Linked DNA regions of Xenopus tropicalis. The protein of the gene in region 1 purifies or fractionates together with the protein of each later gene. This does not show direct contact. Links are inferred from orthologs where the notes say so. Each region holds a gene or a part of one and is shown in the gene's direction. Other genes may lie near its edges. The genes, in order: marchf5, mfn2, dnm1l and mfn1.

Region 1 (4,714 bases):
CATCTCTATTTTACCTTGCCTGATAGCTTTTTTGCATGCTTTATTGGCTTCCTTGTACCTGATGAAAGGTTTCTGCTTTTCACAAGTGGTGGAATGTTTTGCGAAACGGGAGACAAAATTCAGCGCAGAATAGTTTGGTGCGTACCCAAAAATTGATGCACGCGGCAAACAAATTACGCGCACCTAAAAAAAATTTTCTTGCCAACTATTTCTTTTTGACACACATCATTTTCGCCGTTTAGCAAATCTTTTACAAATTTTTCGTGAAACAGGACAGATTCGCTCATCACTGCTTATAAGTTACAATATGGTGTACGTTACTTTTTATAATAGACAAGTGCTTTGGAATAGTGTAGGCAAAAAAATATATATGGATATAAACAACATACCCCCCAACTGTCACGCTTTTTCGCGGGACAGTCCCAGTTTTTACAGTGCGTCCCGCTGTCCCGGATAGTTCCCTGAATGTCTCGCATTACGGAAATGCAGAACATTCATTAAACTATCCAGGCCAGCGGGATGCGCTGGCTGCAGCCGAGCCGCTCCGACTCTGTCTCTTCTTGCGGCTCCTGCTTCTTATTCGGCTCCTCGTATGGCGGCGACAGCTCCTTTTATAAGGTTGCGCCCGTGTGTACGTGTGTACGCACGGGGCGCAACCTTATAAAAGGTCCTGTCACCGCCGTACGAGGAGCCGAATAAGGAGCAGGAGCCACAAGAAGTCTATGGGGGGCACTATGTATGGGGGGAATTTTCTATTGGAGGTACTCTCTATGGGGGCAATTGGGGGGCACTGTGTATGGGGGGTACTGTGTTTGGGGGGTACTGTGTATGGGGGCACTTTCTATGGGGGCATTGTGTATGGAGGGTACTTTCTATGGGGGCACTGTGTATGGGGGTACTGTGTATGGGGGCACTTTCTATGGGGGCATTGTGTATGGAGGGTACTTTCTATGGGGGCACTGTGTATGGGGGCTACTGTCTGTGGGGCAATTGAGGGCATGGTCTATGGGGTCAATTGGGGGCACTGTCTATGGGGGGTACTGTCTATGGGGGCAAATGGGGCACTGTCTATGGGGGTGCTGTCTATTGGGCCATCGGGGGCACTATTTTAAAAATGGGGTGTGGCACTTGGGGTGTGGCCACAAAGTGGGCGTGGTCAAAATGTTGCCGTGCTGCGCGCGCAAAGTCTTTTTGTCCCTCTTTTCATTTTTCAAATGTTGGGAGGTATGAAACAATATTAAGGTTAAATATTGAAGGCATGGTGCAAAGCATAAACAATCCACACAGTCATAAAAACACAGGTAGATCAGGCACTAGAAATCCCTATAGTTTATACCACAAAATTGTTACTATGTTAATTAAAGCGCACTTCGCCGCACAAGTTCTACGCATATGTATATAAAAAGCCAAATCGGAACAGATAAAAACTTCCACAGGCCAATAAGATACAGAGTCAAATTCTAATTTACGGTAACGATGCACTTTAGCGAGATACCGACGTTACCATGGCAACAGACACCTTCCCCAGCGCTTCTCACTTCCTGCTTCCGGCGCCGCTCGGTTGCCGCATGAAGTACGACTGACGTTTCACGTAAGAACTCTGGTTCCGTAACAACAAACACCGAGTTAGAGGCTGCTGGCAATAGGAAGGGGAATTTGCTGAAAGGACTTTGAAACGGACGGATGGCGGTTCGGTGAGACTGTTCCTGCATGTCGGACTTGGACGTGTTGTCTCCTCATACTCTTTATCGCTTGATACTCGAGTAAATACGGCTGCGGGGCAAAGGGCAACATGTCGGAGGCGAACAGCGTGTCTGTACAGCAGATGCTTGACAGGTGAGTGCGTTTGTCGCGTCCTAATGACAAGGCGTAGGGTTGGGGGATGCCTTCTGTGTCGCTGCGTCTTCTATGGGCTGCTGTGCTTATAGCTAGAATTCTACGTACATAATATAGTGCATATCTATAATAACTAGCTAGAATAGATATTTCTTGTTCCTCATGCTTCTTTATAGTAGAAGTAAGAATTTAAAGGGGAAATAAACCCTAAAAATTGTCATTCATAGCAACTTTCCAAAATGCATTCTTTGCATATTTGCAGTCATTTTTGTATATAAGAGTTACTGAAAGCAGCCTTTGTTACTTTTTGTCCTTTGTGTGTATGTATGTATAATGATAAGACAAAACAGAGGCGCCAAATGGATAAAATTAGCTAAAAACACTTAAAAACCCAATGGGTAATTCAGAGGAGGTAGTAATGAACTTACCTCCTCCAGGCAGACACCAACAAAAGTGGTAATTTTCAATAATAGTTTATTCACAACAATGTACGTATGTATAACTTTACTCTGTACAATCTTACAATATACACAATTACACACGGAGGACAAGTGTTATAATAAATACTTAAATACACAGAGATGAAGTGCCATGTGGTATGAGACTCAGTAGGAAGGAGGTCCCTGCCCTGTAGAGCTTACAATCTTTTCCCAGGCTTTTCTGACTTTGATACAGTTTAGCAGAAGCCAGCTGATATAATAGACCTGTAAAAGAGCATGGCAAGCAAGGCTGACTTCTGCTACATTGTTTCAAGAACCAGATGCTCAGAGTGAGAAAAATCACTGTTTTTCAGTGACAGTTAATAAATTCTGATTCTCTATCAACCTAAATGGTTGCCTTAAAGGCGCAATCATGTTATGTTACAAAGGAAAGGTTTTCATTTTGCGGGTTCTGTAGAGTGCTTTAAATCGCAATTAACCACTGTTTCTAGTTATTTGCTATGAAAATGGGTGCCAAGTAGACCAGTTTAAATAGCTGCCCATAGCTACACAACAGCTTATTTATATAAACTGTAGTTGCACTTCTAAAGGTAGCCATACACGCACCGATAATATCGTACGAAACCTCGTTTCGTACGATATTCGGTGTGTGTATGGTATGTCAGCGAGTCGACCGATATCGCAGGAAGCTGCTGATATCGGCCGACTCGCCGATCGGACCAGTTGGAAAATTTTGATCGGGCGCCATAGAAGGCGCCTGGTCAAAATCTCCCTTCAGCGCTGAATCGGCAGAAGGAGGTAGAAATCCTATTGTTTCTACCTCCTTACCTGCCGATTCAGCCCTGAATGGTGTGTGGCACATCTGACGATGTTTCATGCGACCGATCGATGGTCGCACAAAACATCGTCAGATCGCCACGTGTATGGCCAGCATAAGGGTGAAGACACATGGAGCTACTAGTACCGGCTACCTGTCATAGCTACTAAAATAGACAATGCTGATCAGTTACTGATAATTGTTTCTGTGTGTTCTAGCAGAGGCAGTTCTCAGTATTGTCTATGGCAGTGTTCAGTACCCGTGAAAAAGTAACTGCTACTAGTGGCTCTATGTGTCTTCATCCTAAAGCAAACACCCAACTTTTACTATTGAAGGTAACAATAAATGATATTTAACAGCATACAGAACTCTTTCATTTTTGGTGTTATTGGTTCTTTAATACTCTAGGGCGGAACAACTGGCAGCCCATGATCTGGGTGGGTGTGTTGTAAATCTACCCTTATATTGATCTCCCTTGGCTACTTTTCACTGCACTGTCTTGCTTACCCTTTCTGCCTCTCCTTGCCTTATCATGCTGCTTTCCTGCTTCTCCAAACAAGAATGCACAGCTTTTGCAACGCCTGATACTCTGCATGAGTTGATTGACCTCACGCTGAAGGGAGGGGGAGTGAGCCATGATGTCATTTATGAACTTGATAAGATAAACATATCATGAGAGAAAAAAAAAATGCTGGCAGAGCAAGGTATTAAAACCTCTGCTGTAGTTGTGATTATTTAAAGTATGTATTATTATCATCACCCTCCTCAATATCATAATTATTATCCTGTGTTTGTAAAATGTCAGCATGGGCATGTAAGTTGAGGAAATGCATGTTGTCATGAGGAAGAGTCAAGCTAATGACCTTGAAGGGTCAAAAAGGAATTTTAAAGTAAAACCTGGCAGAAACCATGTTTGCACAAGAGAATGAGAGATAATTTCTCAGATAGTTGTCACAAAAATACCTCTGTGCCAGAATCCGGTACAGTCTATTTTGAATCTCAGCCACCTCTGCCCTACACACTCTACTGGTACAGTGACTATGTTAGTGACAAGTATTCTGCTGCACATTGTATTGTATTGGACTTGGCACAGGCATAATATCCTTGTTTAATAATATAGCTTGCCAGCATAAACAGTTCATGCAATTAACAACTGAGGTGTAAGCAGTGTCAGAGTCAGCAGCTTGTAAGACGATATGTTCCCTATTGTTAGGGTAAAAGAAAAAGTTTTTGGTGCCATTGGATCTGCTATCATACCATCTCTCTAAAAGAAACTAAACTAAAACTATTTTTCCTTAAGGGTATAAACCCACGGAGTGGTTGTGTTGCCCACGATAGATCTCTACTGTCGTGGGCGACAAGCCGCTACGAAAAGGCTTTCCATCGCCAATTCTAGGAGTTGCCAGTAGAAAGCCCTTCGCATCGCTTCATTTTCCGAAGTCGCACAAAGTAGCCTGCAGGAGGAAACTTCTCACAACTTTGGATTGGGGTGGGGGGCAAAATCTTAAACACCCCTCAGTGAGTGTAATGGCTTACCTTATACCCCGGGCTGCTCCTGTTAAGATATAATTAATCCTTACTGAAGGCAAACAATCCTATTGGGTTTATTGTTTAAATTATT
Region 2 (4,935 bases), about 40 Mb from region 1:
TCCTACCACTCTGTTGGCTGTCGTATCCTACCCATACTTGTTTATGAGAAGGGATAAACGGAAGGCACCATACTTCATCTGCTTGATCTGCTTTTACGTCATTTGTGCTATTGAATACCTGTTACCTCATCTGATATCCCTGCATTTAGAATTCGGTCTTGGACAAATAAACAGTTCCTTTGTTTTGCAAGAGCTCATGGCGTCCATTATCTATTCTTAAATATGCATTTACATCTAATACACTATACAGTGGCAGGTATAGTTCAACAACATCCTCCATTAGTTTTCTCCCACTTAGCGGAGGCCCATCCTGATGTATGAGAGTCGCATGTAACCAATGCTCTACTCCTAGCCTGGATTTTTCCCCCGGGTGAATGTAGGGACCCATAGGGTTAAGCTCCCTATGGCTTTACACCCTATCTCTTCACATCTTTATTATTATTGGGCAGAAGCCCTTGTACTCAGTTACAGTTGTAAAGCTATCCCTTATAGGTTTAGCCTGGTTGTACACGCCCCCTGCAGACTGATAAAGTCTGGCAGGAGGTTGTGACTTTCTCTTTGGCTGCCGGTCTGCTACCTGATGCACCGCTCCATTGAGCCTGGGTGCAGACACAGGCCCCAGTAGCCATTTCATCCAAATTAAAGTCGGGGACAGGGCCCCGTGAACGAGGTACAGTAAGAACAGGTTACTTTATATTATAGGACTCTCTAGGAGAGTTACACAGTTAGGATTTATATAGAAAGAGCAGCTCATTTGCTCCATCCAGGAGAAAAAGTAAAGGAGTATTCTCCTAACAGGCTTACTTGCCTTAGTTAGGGACACAGAAGTACTAGGGACATAGGCCAGCAATTAACCCTGCCCTCTACCAAGAGAAGGGATTAACCGGTGAGCTGCCTCCTACCACTCTGTTGGCAATACAACTGGTTTTTATGCAACCAACACTTGCCCAAAAGCCAGGAATTAAAAAATAACTACCTGCTTTGAGGCCACTGGGAGCAACATCCAAGGGTTGGAGAGCAACATGTTGCTCACGAGCCACTGGTTGGGGATCACTGCACTACACATTGGCAGTGGGAGGTATAGTTCAACAACATCCTCCATTAGTTTTCTCCCACTTAGCGGAAGCCCATGCTGATGTATGAGAGTCGCATGTAACCAATGCTCTACTCATAGCCTGGTTTTGGCAATATAGCCCAAAATAGTTTTACATTTGGTTACAGGAGTCTTGACAAACAATAGGAATTCTGGGAATGAATTCCAGACTCTTAAAAAAAATCCCATTTACATGGGTTTATCCTGTAGGCTACAGCTCACCCACTGGGTTTGAAGCTGAAGCCAGTACAATAGCTGATCAGATTCTTAAAAAAAATTCCATTTACATGGGTTTATCCTATAGGCTACAGCTCACCCACTGGGTCTTGAGGCAACTGTCCTCTGTGAAACATACTTCATAGGCAAAAAGCAAGTCCCCCTCTTGTTTTATAACATTTAAATTCGAGTGGTCTACGGTCACATTGTTATTTTTCTAGATTTGTTATTTTTTTAGAGTAGTAGCCCACTACTTTTTTATTTAGAAAAAAGGACGGGATGTACCAAATCTCGCCTTCTGTATTATATTCAATCCTACAAAATGTTACCAAGCGCTAATAACCACAGCAAATCTTTACAGCCATCACCTCTGTTTTCTACTTCTTATATCGATTCAATCACCTAACACCCACTACCCCCACGCTATTACTGCCTTTATAATTTCCTTATACCGCACGGTGACATTTCTTGCTACCAGTGAACTACAAATCCCAGCATGCCCAAAACCAATCGGGATTGTGCCGCGCCTCCTTTTTGACCTTTGCTTGTAGGGGCGGAGTGTGTGACGTCACTTGCTGGGTTCCCTGTTCCTTATGGTGTGTGCCAATCGGGGATGGAGGGTGTGGCTTAGCGCACCGCTGGCAGGAGGTTAGTGCAGACCCCTTCCTGTCCTGTACCCTTCACTGAAGGCCTGGATGCTGCTAAGGAAATAGCGCAGCGGTACAGCATGTGAGTGAGCACGGACCTTAGAACATCGCATGTGCTGTGTGCAAAGCTGCCTGCTCCTAGTAGCGTCCCATCCTGCGATTGTTTTCTTTGCTTGAGCAGCCCCAGTCCGGCTGAATAGCATGCGGGCCTAGTAACTGCTTTCCTTGCACTACAAGTAAGACATTTATGATCCTATTGCGCTGTGCTTGTGATGGCAGAAGGGCACTCAGGGTGATAGTGGTTATTGGTTCCCTTCTGTGTGTGTTGTACCTCAAATGCTGCTGAGCAGAACTGTCTCCACACTCCAAATGTAACAACATTAGGAGTGTGGAGACAGTTCTGCTCACATACCACTATTAGGTGCTTTATGAGTGAATACTTATTTGTCAACCTGCTCAGTACCTGATCATCTGATAGGTACTGTTTTAAATCTTATATCATACTTTCAGTGCAGAGCTGTCAAATAAAACATAGCCTGAGGCCAGTGAAGACTGATAGACATTATGGAAAATACTAATATTGCTGCTTTGTGTTGTAGCAGAAAGTCATAGTGACCAATTGAAAATTTGCTGTATTTATTCCAGATGTGCTGGACCAGTCAAAGTTTAATGCTCATCGGTTGCTATGAGCTACTAGACTGGAGTAAAGCTGCACCAGTGTCTTCAACCTGATGATCTCAAACCACCTTGGGGTGTATTTATTAACATTGGAGACATCTGTCACTGGTGATGTAGCCAATAGCACCCAATCAGCAATTAGATTTGAACAGTCATCTACAAGTTAGCAAACAAAAGCAAACATCTGAGTGGTTGTTATGGGCAAAATCACCAGCGATGTTTGTCTCCACTGTTAATGAATACATCTAAGATGTATTTATTAGTGTGGTACTGTCTTGTAATTAGGGAGTTGTTGTAACTGCAGTTTCAGGCCAACGTTCCCACCCTGCAGTGTAATAATTAGTATTCACAATTATATAATGATCACATGTGATACGTAGCCTCTGGTGCACACTGGGTGGGCTTTAAGGTATGGGCTACATGAGGAAGCAGCCAGATCATAATGACACACAAAATTGTGGGCCTATGGTTGTTCAACTACAACTCCTTATTTCTCTAGGGTAATGGCTGGAGGATACTAAGCACTGAAAGCTTATATAATCTTGTCTTAGCCAAAATCTTGACATCTGCTTTGGAAATTACTAGTATTCTTCCATGGGGCAGTGAAGATGTGGGAAATGCTTTACTTTTTTGTGAATTATTTGCCGCTGTCTTCTAATCTTTGCAGTTTTTAAATGGTTGGCACTGATCCCAGTAGCCGAAAAACTTTCTTGAAGCTACAGGTTTTTTTGTTATTGTTACTTTTTGTAACTTTCTTTTCTATTCTTTTCCACTCCCTGGTTGCTAAAGTAAATTGGACCCTAGCAACCAAATAACTGATGAAACTTTACACTGGAGAGCTCCTGAACTGAAAACAAAATAACTAAAAAACTACAAATAAAAAATGAAGACCAACTACAATTTGTTTTAGAATAGTGCTCTAATCTAACTAAAAGTTAACTCAAAGGATAACAACCCCTTTAAGCTACGTCCACACACACACACACACACACAAACCGAACCATACCCAAATGCTATATAAAGTGAAAGATTTGATGCACATTTATCACGCACATGTTAGATTGTGTGCGCTTCATGTGCTTCTTCACTATTTCTATCCATGTGCCACCAATTTCCAGCAGCACAGAGGGTTTGGGTTCGGTTAGGTATCGGTTAGGCCAAATCTGTTATGGGGGATTTGTATAAATACAAATATAGATGCCCACTTTGGTTTTAAGTGAAAATTACAATAATCTTGTAGGCAAGAATGAATAATATATGTGTCAGCTTTTACTCAGGACTCAAAATTATGATTGTTTATCCCGTTTATTGGAGCTTCCCATAAATATGCTACGGTTACTGCCATGTTTCAAATGCCCTATAGGGTTATAAGGTCTTAAAGTGGACCAAATGCAGCTTAAGTGGTTACACAGGTTTTGCAAGCAAAATAAAATCAAGTTTAGTGGTGTTGAAGCCGGTCTGTCCTGTGTAGCTGTCTATGATGCTGATACTACTTACTAAATTACTACTTTTCTAAATTATCACTACAGTGTAGCTGGTTTAAATATACACCAGTGGAGAAAATCCATTCTGCTGCCTTCCACACCTTGAATGTGTGCTCACCGACCGGCATAGAATCAGCCTGTTGCCATTAGCCTAAGATATCCACACATCTACCAAAAGAATCAACCTTCATCATCTTCACTTAACCCCTTGTTATTTTGTATTAAAGGACATGTAAACCCCCCACAAAAAAATAATTAATGAACAGAATGAATAATAAGGCTGCAGCATCCCCTTAATCACTTAGGATTCCTTCTCCTCCTCAAAACCACTTTGCCCCCTCCCTTAGGCTAATGCCACACGGAGTGTATTCTCGGCAAGCTGTAAACTGATATATGCCAAAAATGTGAAGTCTCTCATTTTTTGGCAGATAACGGCTACATGTGCCTACACACGAGAGTATTTCATTTCTTTGTGCAGGCATAAGGTAAGCCCATTTTACAGTAGCGGGGTATATACTTGGCAAGCGTTTTTAGGCTTGTGGCATTAGCCATTGGAATTTACTTTGGCTGTTGGCTACTGAGCATCCTCAACTCAGGTTATGAAACACACCCTCAAGTCTAGCAGCCAATGAAGAAATGGTATTGCTGGTTTCCATAGAAACTTGGCTCTAGCTGTGCACTCTGCTGGAGAAACATGTTTTTTTTTTTTTCTCCTAGCCACCTCTCCTGACCTTATCTTAACCATTACAGTGTTAAATTCAAGCAGGACTTTTTCTGTGTTCTGTGTAATTCTGCCATATGACTGCATAAACTTTAC
Region 3 (4,163 bases), on another chromosome or scaffold:
AAGAACTGGAAAATGTTCCTGGCACAAAACAATTAATGCCCTGGTAACCCCCATTACTGTTAACTGTCCCTAGGGAAAAACACTATGGCAAACCCCCCTTACCATATGTTAATACAATATAAACAAGAGAAAGGGGAATGTTCTGGGCCAAACACAATAAAAGCTTTTGTATACCCCATTACCCTTGGTACTTGTCCCCTAAGGGGAAAAAACGCTTTTATTGGACCCTTACCCATATGGTAAATAATACAGAATAATACAAGAGAGGAATGTTCTGGCAAAACAAAATTTAAGCTTTCTTTTGCCAGCCCCTGGGGGATTTGGGGGCGCTTTCATTTCCCTTTTTTTCATCTCCCAAATGGGTGGAGAAAGCGATCCAGGGGCCCGGGGGTAAAATTGGGGATGGTTAGGAACAGTTCTCGTTAGCCAGAACTCCCTTAAAGTCCCCCACCAGGCTGCTTGGGCAGGGCATTTGAAATTTCCAAACAAGTCGAGCCATTTAATTGAAGACTTAAATCCAGCAAAGAGTCCATTGAATTTTTTTTACATAAACGTTACTCCACTAAATGCTTTGGGGAGGGGGGGGGATTTTCTGTATTTTCGACATTAACAAAGCTTGAATTAGAGTGGGAAATTTCATGTTTTTTCCTGAACTGAAGGAAATGCTGGGGAGCCCTGTAAAAGTTTTTCCCAAAACTTTGAGGACTACTGTGCCCTGGTTTTTTTCCAATGCCTGTTTGGGGTTGAAATGTTTATTTTCCTGTTCGCCTAACAGCTTGTTGCAAATACAGCAAGGCCTTAATGTGGGGCGCTGTTCTTTAAAAGCAACTTTAATATTGGAACAGCTGCAAATGTAACTGTAAATGTAACTGTAAAAAAAAATGGCGGCCAAAAAAAAAAATTTGTGGGGTTCCCTCTGGGGCAAAAAAGGGATTTAGTTGGGGTTTTCCTCAATCCCGTCCCCCTTTAAAAAATAAGCAAGTGGTTATACCTTAGGGGGCTTTTTGTTTCCCTGCTGAAAATTTGTGCTTAGTTAACGGGGGGAATCCCTATGTGCAATAGGTTTTTATGGTATTTCCTTCTGTACAGGCCTATGGGCCAAACTTAATGGGGGCTTGTTTCCTGCCTGAATTGTGGCTTTAGTACAAAGGGGAATCCCTATGTTGCCCTAGTTTTTAATGGTAAATCTTTTCTCTGTACGGCTTAATGGGCAAACTTTAAAAAGGGGGGCCTGTTTTTTTCCCTGCTTTGAAAAATTGGTGCGCTTAGGGTACAGGGGCAAAAATACCCTTAATGTGCCATAAGTTTTTTATGGTAAATTCTCTGCTGACAGGCCCCCTATCGGCAAACTTAGGGGGGGCTTGTTCCTGCCTTGGAATTTGTGCTTTAAGTACCAGGGGAAAAAAATCCAACTTTGTGCCATCAGTTTTTTTTTTATGGTAAAATCTCTCTGTAACAAGGCCTAATGGGTCAAACCTTAAGGGGGCCCTTGTTTTTTTTTCCTGCCTGAATTTGTGCTTTTAAGTACGCAGGGAAATCCCCTATGGGTGCCAAATAGAATTTTAATTGGTAAATCCTTTTCCTCTTGTACAGGCCTTTAAATTGGCAAACTTAGGGGGCTGTTTTTTTTTTTTCCTGCCTGAAAATTGTGCCTTAAGTAACAAGGGGGGAAAAAATCCCTTATGTGCCATTAGAAATTTTTTTAAATGGTTATCTCTCTGTACAGGCTAATGGGCCCCAAAAACTTAGGGGGCGGCTTTGTTCCTGCCTGCTTTTGAAATTGTTGCTTTAGTTAAACAGGGGAAATCCCTATGGTGCCCATAGGGTTTTCCTATTTTCTGTTTTACTTTTAACCTGATGAATTTCTTTTCGTCCCCTTAGAGCAAGCGAAAAGAACGTTTCGGTGGGCTTTGGAGAGTTTTGGGTGGGGGCCGGGAACCCTCCTGGGCCTTTTCCCCAGGGGTTACGGGAAAAAAAATAAAGTTCACCAAGAAAGAGCCCCTAATCCCCTGCAATGGTTTCCACGTGTCCTCCAGACGACCGGGCAAAGACCCCTTTCCGGAGATGACAGAAACGGTAAAAACGATAATCTGCCCGGGGTTTTTTTTTCCCCCCTGTAAACAGCTTGGTGGTACAGACACAATTCAACCTGATTGGCTTTAATGGCTGAAATCATTGTCGGGGGCAGGGTTGGTGCTGGGTAAGGAGGGGATCAGCACTTGTCTCTACTGAGATAATAGAGCGACGTGCAGGCAACGTGATTGGCCCAGAGGCTCATAAAATCAATCGGTTGGATCAAAGGTAGAAGAGAGAGAGGCACCGGCGCTTCCGCCCACTGGAATATTTATCATTCACGTTGGAGCCAATAACTTCAGGCAGCCAACCAATAAGATGCCAGAGAGATGCCCAGCCCCCGGAGTGGGCGTTGCCCACAGAATGACACCTTGGGTGCCATTTCCTTTAAGGGCATTGGATTTGGGCCAGTGCTCCGGGTTCCTCTGCAACCGGCCAAGTGTTGGGCGGCCAAAGAGTCGATGGTCTTGTCCGCTAGCCTTCTGCCAGTCCCCCACCTCTATGGTACTGCCCAGCCCTGTGCAGAAGGAAAAGGGGAGCACTGGATGGAATATATTTGGGGGTTCATTGTGTGTTTACCCCTTCTTCTAGCACATCTGCCCCCTTGGATTGCCCATAGCAACCATTTAGATCTTTGCTTTTGTTTTCTAACTTCCGTTCACAGGATCTGAGTGGGGGGAGAACAGCAGAGGGCCCTGCGGGGATTGGGTCTGGGCCGCTGGGGCCCACAGGGTTTTTCCCCCAGTGCCCCAGTCCGACCCTGACCGTTCAACTCTAACTGCTGATTGGTTGCTACGGGCAACATCACCGGTGATTTTGGCTTACACACTTTCATAATTTTTCCCTACGACTATGCCCATCATTACCTGGCAGGGTGGGATCTCTGTAGGGAAAGTGGGGGGGGGGGGGTATCATTGTGTGTTTACCCCTTCGTCTAGCACATCTGCCCCTGTGGATGGGGGGCTGCAAAGCACAAGGTGGAAGACCCTTTCCCTTAATAACGTCTCCTTCTCTCTGTTGTGTTTTTCTCTTTGATTCCAGACCCCAACGCCTGGAAAATTCCGAAGCACTTTTCCAAAGGTCTACAGTTTCCACTGTCCCCCCCCCCCCCCCGAACTTTATTTCCTACCTGCATGTGCCTACCTGCCCCCGCGGGGCTTGTGTGTAGAACTGTAACCCCCGCACAACCGCAGCACCCAGTCACCGGCGACCCTCCAGCACTCGGATACTATCAGTAATGGCCGGGGGTCCCTTACAGAACAGCAAGGGGAGGGGTTAAAACCAGACGTGACCCCCTGCGGCCCTGGGTATGCTGGGAATTTTACCAACATCCTTGTGGCCCCGGGTTGCAGGGAGTTGTAACAGTACTTGCCATTACTGATAATGTCCGCCCATTGGTAAAAGCAGTGTTTTTTTTCTACATATAAACTGTACTTTCATTTTTTTTTTTTAGGTTTAGCCCCCTGTGCTTTATTCTACCACCCCCTATTTATTTATTTGTGTTCCCTCATCTTGCATGCATCATTTATTTGCCCTCTGTGGGGTATAAAGCAACATGGCTACCCAGTGATCAGCCAGTCAGGTATTTACTAGGTTTGGCCTTAGTCTGGGTGAGGCCGGGGAATTATAACACAATGGGAGAGCTATGGGGGATATTGGGAAAGCCAGTATGTAAGACAATGGATGTGCCAGTTACACCTGTATGGAGGCTACAGCAAGCAAGGCAAGAGTGTAATGGTTGCCTCAGCAAATCACAGAGTCCTAGTAAGTCATCTAGTTAGGATCACTACTGGGTAGCACCCTTCTTCAAACTCGATCATATCAGCTATTGCCTCAGCTCCTGAGCTACACCCCCAAAGGCCAGTGGTTCTGATTAGTAGCTGGGGCCTCCTAGGTTAGTCATTACTGAAGCGGACAGCGACACTAATCGTTGGTTTAGAGATAGACGTCGTTCTGGCATTATATCGACGTTTCCTTACAGAGATCAAGTGCTGTGCAGTGGGCGCCTAAAGGAATGCCTCCTATGCAGATCACATTCCTCGACTTCCAAGATAGAGTGAGAAACAGAACCAGTCATTATGAGGATTGCC
Region 4 (4,952 bases), on another chromosome or scaffold:
CCCGCTTTTTATGGCGCCTCCCGCTGTCCCGGATAGTTCCATGAATATAGGGCGAAGGAGTGTGGAGAGTTTGGGTGTTGTACCCCTAAAACTGTAGGAGGAGTAGCGTTTAGAAAATGGGGGGCGCTGAGAAGAAGAAGCGGAAGAATAAGCTGAAGTGGAAGAACAGTCTGTGGGGTTTTCAACCCAACACAATTCGAAGTCTGCAAGCTGCACAACAAATATAAAAAGGGGGGTTTATGACAGTATATAATGCCTGTCAGTTCATACCTTTACATTTTCATCTAACATTTTTATTACCATGAATCAATGGTCACTCTGTTGTACTAATACACCCACTAATGCCTACACATAACTTTACTCCCACGTTCTTAGTCCAATGACTTGAGCTGCATCCTTTGCAAAGGCTATACATTCTAAGCCATTTTTACTCATGCTTTGTACAATAAGATTCTAGAAAATTTTAGGAGGACCGTGTTGGCAGCTTATCGCCTTTTGTTACAATAGTAAGCGGTACGGGCAGAAAAGAACTACACAACTACTTCCCACGGAATGGTTCTGAGCTACGCCGTCTCCGCTCGCCCCTCCCCCAATGCGCTACGTAACGTGTCACTGCGCAGGACGGGATCTCGCGTGATGAGAGTGGCGGTGCGGGGATTGTGTGTAGGACAGGAGGCAAGGAATTTGCACTTAGCTGCTGTGCGGGAGGTGTAAGTAGGGCATAGGGATGCGGGACTGCGGGCTGCGATAGGCCAATCGTGAGCGTCCTGCAGAAAGCCCGATTTTTGGGCAGTATGCATTTACTTGGATTAGTCGCCCCCCCCCCCCCCCCTGTCATTTTGTAGCATGTTATACACTCACTGACGTGTTACTGTGTATATAATGTATATGTACGTATGTGTGTCTGTATATATAATATGTATTTACCCATTTGAGTCTACTTGTAAATGAACTCCTTGCAGTACAGTCCAAGCACACATATGTTCGGAACTTTATTATACACGCTCACCTTTGGTGTCCTTCATACTAGGATACTCACTTTCTATAGAAATTAGCAACAAGTGCATTCAGGTTAAAACTTGTGTTTTTTAAATATTAATTAAATATACATTTTACATATTAATTGTAGCTTTGGTGACATTTTCTAATGCTTATAATGTGGACTATGTTATTATTTATATAAGGTATTTTAATCATTTTTATTTCAAAAGATCCATATAACTCTTTGTTTAACATGTGTGAATTTTGTGATTTGAACAAAAAAAAAAAAGAATTGCCCCCCACGGGACCCCATTTATTAACCCACTGGTCGCCTGGGCCCTTGGGCTGTGTGCCATTCCCCAATGGAAAAAAAAAAAGACTTGCAGATCCATGACTTGTCATTAAGCCCTCCGCAACCTGTGAATTGCACTTTTACCTCTCTTAGGGCCTGCTATGGGATCCCTGATTGCAGCACCTCGTTCCCCATGATGTTGGCCCTGTATAATATAGTACTTTAGTGGTTTATTTTATCTACATTTTCTTTCATTTATTTTATATATATTCCATATCCTGCAGCCCTTTTGTAGAGATAAGATAAACAGAGATAAGATGTTCTCACCAGAATGATTATCTGATCTAAAAGCAGTTATTAGTGCAAGTTCTTGCTTTTTTTTTTTTTTCTTATAATAGACGTGTGGTCATCTTTCATTTTTATTGCTTCTTTGTACTGTCTGGATTGGCAATTTTCTTGGCACTTAAAACTGCCATTTTCTTTTCAAGCAGATAAGTCATGGAAGAAGCAAGTGTCTCTCCCCTAAAGCACTTTGTGCTAGCCAAGAAGAGCATTACGTCTATCTTTGACCAGTTGGTGGAGTATGTCAGTGAAGGCGTAACCTTTGTAGAAGGTATCTTTCATTTTCTGTAATATAGCATTGCACATTTTAAGACTAACCGTGGGATGTAGTAACAGGTGCAATTTTGTTCAAGGTCTAATAACCCACAGCAACTATTAAGCACTTACTAGTTTACAGCAATTAAAATAGTGAATAGTTGAGAAAATAGCTGAGAAACTACTATGAATCAGTAGATATAGGGCAAGTTCTGCATATTTTACTACATTCTCCATGTAGTGTAACTGTTTTCTGATAAATAATAATCGAATTGAAAGAGCTTCTCCAGAGAAATCTTGCATTGAAATCCATTTTTCAAAAACACAGATTTTTCATTTTTAAATTTCACATGGGGTGCCATGTCCTTCATTTTCCAGTCACACTTTACTGCTGAGCTGCAAGTTGGAGTGATATCACCCCCCTCCCGGCAGCCGATCAGCAGAACAATGGAAAGGTAGCAGGATAGCAGCTCCCAGTAGATATCAGAATAGCACTCAATAGTAAGAAATCCAAGTCAGGCTTGGGACTCCTCCAGTTACACTGCAGTAGGAAAAACACTAGGTTATCTGAAAGCAGTACTAATGTAGCGCTGGCTCCTCCTGAAATTTTAGACTCAGGCACAATGCATGAGATGGCACCGACACACCAATATTACAGCAAAAAAAATTAATTTGTTGGTTCAAGAATAACATTTAAAATGATAGAATACACTATTTGCTATGTAAACAGTGTAATTTAGAAATAAAAAGTATACCATGAAAATCATGACAGTATCCCTTTAAAGATTTAGAGTAAAAGTTTTGATCACTGCTGCTGTCTTGTGAAAACAATGGCTGTCAAATTGCCTCTGACCACCACAGTGTAAGACTCGTTCTTCACTGAAGGGCAACAGTGATCCAAATGCCTGTGTCCCATTAAACTAAAGCATGGAAGTCTTCCTGTGCTATATGATTTATGGCTGAGATCTGAGATTTTTTTTATGTCTATAACAGTAAGAGATTTTATCTAAAACCTATTATTTACACATCAACACAATGATAATATATTCTGCCTGTTTTTATTAAATAAAAAAGATCAATATTTTTGGTTAATCTTCTCACAATTTATTATAAAGCGCTTCCCATCTGCCTGCAGGATTTTTCGTGTGTGTGCTCCTTATCACAGGTATGGGACCTGTTATCCAAAATGCTCTGGACCTGGGGTTTTCTGGATAAGCAATCTTTCCGTAATTTGGATCTCCATACTAAGGGGCACATTTACTAATCCACGAACGTCCAAAAAGTGTCCAAATTCCTTTTTTTTCGTAATGATCGGTATTTTGCAACGTTTTCGAGCGCTCAATACGAAAGTCGCGACAATTCACGAAAGTCATAATGGCTATGAAAAAGTCGCGACAATTCACGAAATTTGTAATGGCAATGAAAAAGTCGCGACAATTCACGAAATTTGTAATGGCAATGAAAAAGTCGCGACAATTCACGAAAGGCATAATGGCTATGAAAAGTCACGACAATTCGCGAAAGTCGTAACGGCTACGAAAAAGTCGCAAAAAATACAAAAAGTCGCAAAATGTTCATTTTCCAATCCGAATTTTTCTTATTCAGATTCGTGGATTAGTAAATCAGCCCCTAAGTGTCTACTTGAAAAACATTTTAATAATTAATAAACGCAATATGATTGTTTTGCCCCCAATAAGGATTCATTTTATTTTAGCTAGGATTAAGTACAAGGTTATGTTTAATTACAGAGAAAAAAAAGGAATGCTTTTTACAAATATACATTATTTGATTATGATAGAGTCTATGGGAGATGTCCTTCCCATAACCTCAATACCGGGTTTCCGGATAACAGATCCTATACCTGTGCATTACATTCCAGGGCAACAAACTGCACTTAGACATAGTAGTGGAAGAGCAGCAGATGGAAGACTGTGCTTGCTTAAACTTTAACCATTATGTTCCTTTATTTCGGCATAGAAACATTCCAGAACCCAGAGCTAAAGAATGTGAGTACAGAGGATGATGTTAATAAGGTTAAGGCATCTAAGACTAAACTAGCTGGCATTGGGGAGGTTCTCGCCCGCAGGAATATGAAGGTGGCTTTTTTTGGCAGGTAAGAGCTTTCATCACAATTTAAGGATATGTGATTTGTGATAACTGCATTTTAAGCTGCAAACAAACATATAAAATATATAATAAAGTATACATTTTATGCTTGAACCCTCTGGTATTTATATTACAAGAAGTCAGTATAGTAATTCAAACATTATATATATATGGAAACATGATTCAGAAATGAGAAATATCTGCTAACAGTAAGGGCAATGGCACATGAATCATCCACTACTTTGCAATACATATGCTCTTCCACCACCGATTCACATTACTGCCAGCTTTCTTCTGTTGATCAGATGGCAAGAAGTTTGACCCACTGACTAATTGGATTTACTCTGAATACCAGTATAGAGATAATTCATATGTATTTGTCTTATACATTGTTATTCTTAAGTTTTGAACTTTAAATGTTGAATAATTAACTCTTCCTGAGTTTTATGTTCATATTGCATGCTAACCATAATTTGAATGAACCGTGATGTTTTTATCCATCCCTGCAGAACAAGTAGTGGCAAGAGCACAGTGATAAACTCTATGCTGTGGGACAAAGTGCTGCCCAGTGGTATTGGACACACTACCAACTGCTTCCTTAGCGTGGAAGGTACAGAAGGAGACAAGGCCTATCTGATGACAGAGGGTTCAGAGGAAAAGAAAAGTGTAAAGGTATAACTGCAGATGTATATTACAAACATTCACTGTATGATATCTCCCACCGTGCTGTGTGTCTAACCAATATATTTACATTTACTATTCATTACACTTATTTGTAATACAGAATGTGCCTCCTCAGGCCTCACAACTATTGATGAAATGCAACTTGCTTTGTTTTTTTCTTTTTGCAGACTGTTAATCAGCTTGCACATGCTCTGCACATGGACAAAGACTTGGGAGCTGGCTGTCTTGTTCATGTGTTCTGGCCAAAAGCAAAATGTGCTCTGCTTCGAGATGACTTAGTCCTTGTAGACAG

What was found.
Region 2: the proteins of marchf5 (region 1) and mfn2 purify together in Homo sapiens (affinity purification with mass spectrometry; 5 studies listed by BioGRID and IntAct, counting the BioPlex papers as one, with this or other methods). This does not show direct contact. The link is inferred for Xenopus tropicalis from reciprocal best matches to the Homo sapiens genes MARCHF5 and MFN2.
Region 3: the proteins of marchf5 (region 1) and dnm1l purify together in Homo sapiens (affinity purification with western blotting, with the first as the bait; 3 studies listed by BioGRID). This does not show direct contact. The link is inferred for Xenopus tropicalis from reciprocal best matches to the Homo sapiens genes MARCHF5 and DNM1L.
Region 4: the proteins of marchf5 (region 1) and mfn1 purify together in Homo sapiens (affinity purification with western blotting; 4 studies listed by BioGRID, with this or other methods). This does not show direct contact. The link is inferred for Xenopus tropicalis from reciprocal best matches to the Homo sapiens genes MARCHF5 and MFN1.

Annotation. Positions count from the first base shown.
Region 1 is NC_030683.2:25,747,878-25,752,591, reverse strand, and holds the start of marchf5 (E3 ubiquitin-protein ligase MARCH5), read left to right. Parts: upstream 1-1,625; 5' UTR 1,626-1,792; coding exon 1,793-1,836; intron 1,837-4,714. UniProt on the Homo sapiens protein: Mitochondrial E3 ubiquitin-protein ligase that plays a crucial role in the control of mitochondrial morphology by acting as a positive regulator of mitochondrial fission and as an important regulator of immune response.
Region 2 is NC_030683.2:65,993,094-65,998,028, forward strand, and holds the start of mfn2 (mitofusin-2), read left to right. Parts: upstream 1-1,872; 5' UTR 1,873-1,957; exon of another isoform or gene 1,958-2,192; intron 2,193-4,935. UniProt on the Homo sapiens protein: Mitochondrial outer membrane GTPase that mediates mitochondrial clustering and fusion. Mitochondria are highly dynamic organelles, and their morphology is determined by the equilibrium between mitochondrial fusion and fission events.
Region 3 is NC_030679.2:4,795,386-4,799,548, reverse strand, and holds part of dnm1l (dynamin-1-like protein), read left to right. Parts: intron 1-1,881; coding exon 1,882-2,076; intron 2,077-2,465; coding exon 2,466-2,577; intron 2,578-3,072; coding exon 3,073-3,153; intron 3,154-4,163. UniProt on the Homo sapiens protein: Functions in mitochondrial and peroxisomal division.
Region 4 is NC_030681.2:108,878,853-108,883,804, reverse strand, and holds the start of mfn1 (mitofusin-1), read left to right. Parts: upstream 1-1,764; 5' UTR 1,765-1,771; coding exon 1,772-1,886; intron 1,887-3,847; coding exon 3,848-3,983; intron 3,984-4,485; coding exon 4,486-4,648; intron 4,649-4,827; coding exon 4,828-4,952. UniProt on the Homo sapiens protein: Mitochondrial outer membrane GTPase that mediates mitochondrial clustering and fusion. Membrane clustering requires GTPase activity. It may involve a major rearrangement of the coiled coil domains.